Drosophila melanogaster: one gene and its partner. Changing the gene in region 1 together with any one later gene gives a genetic interaction. Each region holds a gene or a part of one and is shown on either strand. Other genes may lie near its edges. The genes, in order: Or42a and pdm3.

Region 1 (3,927 bases):
ACCTAACTATATACAGAGGTGGTCAAAAGTATTTACCCAACGTGCTTTTTTTTCAATTGACAAGAATTGTCAACTAATTGAAAAATAGTTCGTTGTGTAAATACTTTTGACCACCTCTGTATTTGAAAAACAAAAAAGAATGCTTAGTCAAGTTCCCCGACTATCAGATACCCGTTACTCAGCTAGTGGGAATGCGAACGCAAAATTTCATAATTTTTCTGGGATATCGATAGATAGAAAGAAAAATTTTAAAAATTGTTTAAAAAAGTGGACCGTTAGGAAAATGTGGGGGGAGAGGCGTGACCAGTGTTTTTGGTATACCGATAAAATTTGGGAAGGCAAACAATTAAACGAAGTTAGAGTGGGTGTAACAAAAAGATATTTGGCCCATCGATAGAAATTTACAAGCCTAATAAAATTAAAAAAAAATATCCAACATGTTTTCAAAAGCTAAAGTTATAAGTTCATTAGTCTTCATGATTTGACCGATTGGGAATTTCCTGCTGCAGAGTGTATATGGTATGGTAGTATCATCGGATACATAGTGTGGTATCGAAATACTCTATAGCTTTATCGCAGTAGTTCCTTGGTCCACGTGCATTTGTAAACGTTTTTTTGAAGTGATCCCATGCCACCAATAAATCGCGTTTCTTGCGCTTTGGCTTTCTATACTTTTATTTGCTCCTCCCTTAAAACTGTTAAATTACAAATTCCATCTATAAAAACCATTGTATGCATATGGACGTGCAGGTATGTATACATTAAAAAAATAGCAGACTCGGCCTTTGGGTTTCCAAATGTCTCACTCTTGACATTCGGCTTTTCCCGGACTTTTAGCTCTTGGTACCCCGGTACACTAAAACGAACCGTAAACCGTGTACATTCCATTAGCAGCGAATCAATACATAGTACTGATCGCAATCGGTTAACAACGGAAAATTGTGCATGACACCGTTCGGAAACAAACTTGAACAGCGTTGGCGTCATTAGAATCTGTATGCTTAGTCTAAACGTCTTCAGCTTTAATACAATAGTTTTCAAGATCACAACATAAATAGAGACAGACAGATAGTTTGGATGGTTTGACTTGGCTAGTGATCCGATCAATAATATGGTCGAGATCTTTGGAACCATAAATGCCAGAAGGTTGAGGTTAAGCAGGTACAGATTCTAGAGACATAGACGCAGCGCAAGTTTGATGACCCATGTTGCCACGCACTCTAATGCCCACAAATCACCCAAAATTGCCACGCCCACACTTATGAAAAATGCTTTGATAGCTTATCATATTTCTATCGATTTGCCAAAAAAAAGTGTTGTCCCCTTACGTCAACAAACCTCACACTTAAAAAATTTTTTTTGCCCTTTTATCGTTTTATTGTTTATCTAACTAATTTCAACCGATTTGACAAACAACTTTTTGGCCACACCCACTTTAATGCCCAATGAGAAAAATTTTCCTAATTTTATTCCCCAATATCATTTTTGCGTTTGCAATCACACTAGCTGAGTAACGGGTATCTGATAGTCGGGGAACTCGACTAGATCATTCTCTCTTGTTTCCTCACAAATTTCTATTTACAAAATATTTTAAAAAATGTTGAAACTTCTCGTTCGCACTCCCCACTAATGGTTTAAATAAATATATTTTAATATTATTATTATTTTTTCTATATTTTCCATAAATGTGCTACCGATGTCTTAAACAGAACACAAATGCAAACTAAATCCTCTTCTTTGTGAACGATTGCAGCCTGTTAATTTTTTCGTCGTGCTAAGGGAATCATCATTTATTAATGGAATAGTGTAAACTTTTACACTTATGTGAAGCGTTATCCAATGGGCTTTCATTCTTTAGGTCATTTGAATTGTGTCAACCCTCTGCAATGACTAATAGAGAGAAGGGTATTTCAATCTATACACTGCAGACTTTAGTAAACTTTATTACCCCTTGAGTAATTGATTTCCACAAACGAGTTTTCAAGTGTCGCCTATGAATTATCTAATTGACGATTGATGGACTTATAATCACGCCATTGGCGGCCCTATAAAAGGACATTGCAGACGGTGCTTTAGTTCAATTGTTGAAATTAGAGTGCATTCACTATGGATCTGCGAAGGTGGTTTCCGACCTTGTACACCCAGTCGAAGGATTCGCCAGTTCGCTCCCGAGACGCGACCCTGTACCTCCTACGCTGCGTCTTCTTAATGGGCGTCCGCAAGCCACCTGCCAAGTTTTTCGTGGCCTACGTGCTCTGGTCCTTCGCACTGAATTTCTGCTCAACATTTTATCAGCCAATTGGCTTTCTCACAGGCTATATAAGCCATTTATCAGAGTTCTCCCCGGGAGAGTTTCTAACTTCGCTGCAGGTGGCCTTTAATGCTTGGTCCTGCTCTACAAAAGTCCTGATAGTGTGGGCACTAGTTAAGCGCTTTGACGAGGCTAATAACCTTCTCGACGAGATGGATAGGCGTATCACAGACCCCGGAGAGCGTCTTCAGATTCATCGCGCTGTCTCCCTCAGTAACCGTATATTCTTCTTTTTCATGGCAGTCTACATGGTTTATGCCACTAATACGTTTCTGTCGGCGATCTTCATTGGAAGGCCACCGTACCAAAATTACTACCCTTTTCTGGACTGGCGATCTAGCACTCTGCATCTAGCTCTGCAGGCCGGTCTGGAATACTTCGCCATGGCTGGCGCCTGCTTCCAGGACGTTTGCGTTGATTGCTACCCAGTCAATTTCGTTTTGGTCCTGCGTGCCCACATGTCGATCTTCGCGGAGCGCCTTCGACGTTTGGGAACTTATCCTTATGAAAGCCAGGAGCAGAAATATGAACGATTGGTTCAGTGCATACAAGATCACAAAGTAATTTTGCGGTGAGTAAACGGAAATAATGTACATATAAATATAAATTAGGGTGCACTGTGGAAAATTCACGCACTTTTTTGGGACAAAACTTATTTTCTGTTGGGCTAGATCGACTTGATTTGTGATCCTGGTCGAAAATATATTTACCCTTAAAATGTGGCAACCTTTTTCAATACCATGACCTCTTTTACAGATTTGTTGACTGCCTGCGTCCTGTTATTTCTGGTACCATCTTCGTGCAATTCTTGGTTGTGGGGTTGGTGCTGGGCTTTACCCTAATTAACATTGTCCTGTTCGCCAACTTGGGATCGGCCATCGCAGCGCTCTCGTTTATGGCCGCAGTGCTTCTAGAGACGACTCCCTTCTGCATATTGTGCAATTATCTCACAGAAGACTGCTACAAGCTGGCCGATGCCCTGTTTCAGTCAAACTGGATTGATGAGGAGAAACGATACCAAAAGACACTCATGTACTTCCTACAGAAACTGCAGCAGCCTATAACCTTCATGGCTATGAACGTGTTTCCAATATCTGTGGGAACTAACATCAGTGTAAGCAGATGTGCCCTTTAATGAAATTTTTGACATTTGTTTTACTCTTGGTTTCCTTGAAGGTCACAAAATTTTCGTTCTCCGTCTTTACTCTCGTAAAACAAATGAACATATCTGAGAAACTTGCCAAATCTGAAATGGAAGAGTGAAAAAGTTTATTCGAATTTAAAATCACACATGAAAGAAATTAAAGTACACGGTAATAAAATTTTGATAGTTTTTTAACACTGTTGCTAGCGGGTTGGGTACCGATTTTTAAAATTACTTTAAATTAAACAAAAACACTACTGCAATTAGGTAAGGTAATGTAAGGGTTATGAATTTCATAGTTTCCTTTTTACCGCAACATAATATAATATAATCATGCGTATCTTGAAAAATATATATTTATTTTTTGAAAAGTGAGCTTTAAACCTACTTGGTACTTATCTACATATAAAGAGCAGGGAAATCTGAAGAGCAAATACCATTACAGCCGTACCGGGATAGAGCTAGTAAATTT
Region 2 (3,927 bases), 2.5 Mb from region 1:
CGCACCGGTCGGTCGCTGCTGCATCTTCTGCCCCCTGGAGGGGTGGGAAGGGGGGCGGACTGCGGCGGGGGCTTGTCTAGTGACTTGACTGTAACCTCATTGACCAGAAAAATGCAAGCGGCAACGGCAACAAGCGCAGACAACAAAACATCAAATGTGAATTAGTGCAAAGGTAGCCAAGGAGCAAGGATACACCTAAAAAATTTATGATTGTTAGTGTTGATAAAAAGAAAATATATGTACACGTAATTATTACAGTGTATTATATGGAGAATAAAAGGTATAGTAACCTACGTGCAATCAATAATATCAGTAGTATCCAATTTATAAATTAATAAAATAAAAATAAAATATATTAGTTACTAATTTAACTAATGTGAAAATTTAAAATTTAATTTTATGAAATTAATGTTTTTGTAATTTGGATCTAATTATCACGTTCTTTTTATGTTACCCAAAGTGAGAACCGCCTTTCTTATAAATTGAATTGAAATTTGGTAAAGTTTTTGCCAGTGGAGATGAAAGAGTGCCGAAGAAGGAGCAGAAGACGTGGCAGAGAGGGATGGCAGAGAATTGGGTGGAAGAGTGGGAGGAAGAGTGGGCAGAACAAGGCAAAACGTTTCCATATTTATTGGCACTTTTCGGTTTTCTGGAAGCGGTTCGAGCCGTTGCAAAAGGGGCGGAGGGGTGTGGTTCACTAGACCCGGCACACGTCACATTGTGGGTGGGTGGGAGTTGGAGGACGGTGGACGGAGGGCTGGAGTGGTAGCAAGAGGGTTCTGGGCTTCGAGTGGGGTTTTGACCGACGAGCTGAGTGACTGGAGCTTTTGGCATTGGCTCTGCTCTGCGGATCGAGACCTAAATTATTAATTCCCAGCAATAGTTGTCGAGGGGTCGAGCTGGGGTGAAATTTCGGGGCATTTGACAAGTCGTCTTGTGATGCATATCACAGGTTTGGTTTATCCAACAATTTCCTCTGAAGCTTAAAATAAATTCTAAGTTGTTGTGTGTTGAGAGAGGTTGTGGCATTTATTAAGAAAATCATAATTAAGTTTCTAAATTGGTACGATAAAATGAAAAATAAAAATAAATTTTATTGATTTTTAAATTGCGGTGACTTCCTACTTTTCCATTATAATTAAGCATTGTTAATTTGTACAAGTGGATTTAAAATTATGTCAAACAGTTTAAAGATTTTGAATATTATTTTGCAAATCTCCAAAGATATGTATGTAGAATCTAAATGCGCTCCCACCGTTCGGTGTAAAAAGTGCAATGTTTAGCTGTAATAAATGCTCAAAATGCGCTCACAAAAGCGCTCACCCACACTCGCGCCCTCTCCCTCGCGCGACCGCTCTCCTTCTCTTTCTATCTCTGCCTCGCCGTCGTTAAGTGCTCGCCTTTCGTCAAGTGTGCAACTTCTCCTTCTCAGAACAACAGTTATAAGCTCAGTCTGCGCCGGCAGCGCTGTCGACGTCGACTGCAGCAGCAGCGCCGCTCATTTGTGCGCTTAATGACGTCATTATTTTTATTTTAACAGTGCCAAGCAAATTGCATATATACCGTTGCTGCTCCTGCGCAGTCGGCGCTCTGCCGGCGTCGCTGCACCGCCAGTGGGGCTTGGGCTAGGGGGTGGGCGAGAGAGCGACAGAGAGAGAGCCAGAGCGAGAGAGAACGAGAGGCAGTGAGTGAGAGAGACCCCGGTCGCTTTCTCGCTCGCACCCGCTGAGCTGGGCCTGCGGCTTCGGGTTCCTCGCCTTCGTTTTGTTTGCTCGTGTTTGCCGATGTTGTTGCTGCTGTTGTTGCTGCTGCTCCTTTGCTGTTGCTACTTATGCTGATGATTGCGATTGCTGGGGGTCCAAAGCGCCGCTCGTGCGCCACACGTTCATTCAGTCGACGGACGACGCTGCGCCTGAACGTACGACGGCTGATCTGAACCGGAATCGCATTGAACGGCCACATATATCTTGGACGCCCCTCGACTCGTGCAACAAACAAACAACCAAAGTGCAACATACAATACCCAAGCAAATAAACTTCGGCGTGTGCCCACGATTCATCTTTAACAGCTGCCACTGCAACTTTTGAGCCCCATGTGTTTTGTACAGCCGTTGCTCCGCGATTTTTGAATCCGTTTCGAAACTACTCAGTTCCGAATTTTTGGCGCGTTGCGATCGTCTCATCTGAAGTGCGTGGGTGATAACCATCTGTCAGATACTCGTTGCTACACTCATAGGTACTCATGAATACTTTGAATACAGTGCTCAATTGTGATAAGAGTTAAGAAATTACACATCAAAACCAAACGACCATTAAAAGGTGAATGAAAAACAGGATTCAGGAAAAGCTAGTGGAACATAAAAACTCTTTCGTTGATTTTGGCAACAGCTTGCGAATCTGTAAATAACGGTAAATATCTCAAAGTACTTGATTTAAGCTCTTGTGAATTTATATTATATGTTTTGAAGAAGTATATCATGCAATTGACTATCATCAGTTTAAAATCTTTTATGGGAACCAAATTTTAGAGGTATTAAAGTAATTATAAATGGTCTTCCCAATAGTCTGAAACAGTTTTTTTCACATATATATATATTCACATGTATATAATTGATTTACTAAAATTAATTGTAATATCATAATAAAAGTAATTTTAAAACTTTTATATATATTTCTGATTTGATAAAATTTCCATACGCCAAATTTTTACGTGTGTCAGTGGTTGGACATTTTAGCGGATGAATTTCGGAAATATTTAAATAAATCTCAAAATTTCCGGCTTATTACAAAGCTTAAAAAATCTGCATGGCTGAACGTTATGGCAGCTACTCAACCCAAAATGGTAAGCTAAATAATGGGGCTGCAATAAAAAAAGACATTTAAGTGAAGTGCTCATCATCATTATCAAGTTAGAAATATCAAACCTTTTTAGCCTCTCACGCACTCCACTCACTCGAATATTGCTCGAAACAGCCAAATGCAGTTTTTATGTAAATCTCAACCCTGACATGGTAGTATGCAAAAACCAATAAATTGATGCGATTTCGCTGCAGGCGGTTAATAACTTTAATTAACGTTAATTTTATCAACATCAGCATTATCGTTGGACCGGCATGAGCATGGGGGCATGTGCATGAGCAAACTTGGCGAGGGTCTCAAAAATAGTTGCGACGTTCTAATAATAAAACCAAATATAATAAATAGCCACAAACAAACTAATAATACGGCTCGACGGCAGTGGACAGTGGCAATTTGCAACAATGAGGCTCATCAAACGATCGCTAAAACGAAATCAGAATGAAACTCTACACATAAATAGTTTAATGTGCTGAGCCTTGCGACTGCTGCCACCCCACGAAAAATTACTAAAACGTATTACAATTGACTTGCCGGTGGCTCAGTGTCATTTTTGCAAAAAATAATCTAAACGTATCTATGAGATACAATAAACAGCAGCAGCGGCGCACAATTCGCACTAACAACAGCGCCAGCGGGCGTAACAACAATTGTAATAATCAGTTTCATTTCAAAGCCGCACCAACCTGCGCTACATTTTTCCCACTGTCCAAGCTCTGCTTGGATTCCCCTCCCCTCAGCTCCACTTTGGATCCCTGCTGCCGCCGCCGTTTCCACCGATTCAACCGATCCCAGCGATCCCGCAGATCCCACCGCCCTTCCCTCATCGGCATCCGAGTAGAAAACGTATCTATGCAGTGCATTGTTAGCGTGGCCCGCTCATTTAATTAAATATAATTAGCTGCATTAATTGCAAATTAATACAGAATTTAGCCTCTTTGTTGCCTGCTCCATTGTCGTTGCCAAGCAGAGTTAGCTATTGCCATTGCCCTGCTCCCAACTACACATTACACACGCCTCGTTATCGTTGGCAATTATTTAGCGAGAATTAACTGGGCTCGCAGTTGCACT

The links.
Region 2: of Or42a (region 1) and pdm3, changing one suppresses a phenotype caused by changing the other (phenotypic suppression), as found in Drosophila melanogaster (one study listed by BioGRID).

Annotation. Positions count from the first base shown.
Region 1 is NT_033778.4:5,791,143-5,795,069, reverse strand, and holds Or42a (odorant receptor 42a), read left to right. Parts: upstream 1-2,102; 5' UTR 2,103-2,106; coding exon 2,107-2,882; intron 2,883-3,067; coding exon 3,068-3,425; intron 3,426-3,487; coding exon 3,488-3,574; 3' UTR 3,575-3,629; downstream 3,630-3,927. UniProt on the Drosophila melanogaster protein: Odorant receptor which mediates acceptance or avoidance behavior, depending on its substrates. The odorant receptor repertoire encodes a large collection of odor stimuli that vary widely in identity, intensity, and duration.
Region 2 is NT_033778.4:8,325,599-8,329,525, forward strand, and holds the start of pdm3 (pou domain motif 3), read left to right. Parts: upstream 1-1,891; 5' UTR 1,892-2,409; intron 2,410-3,927.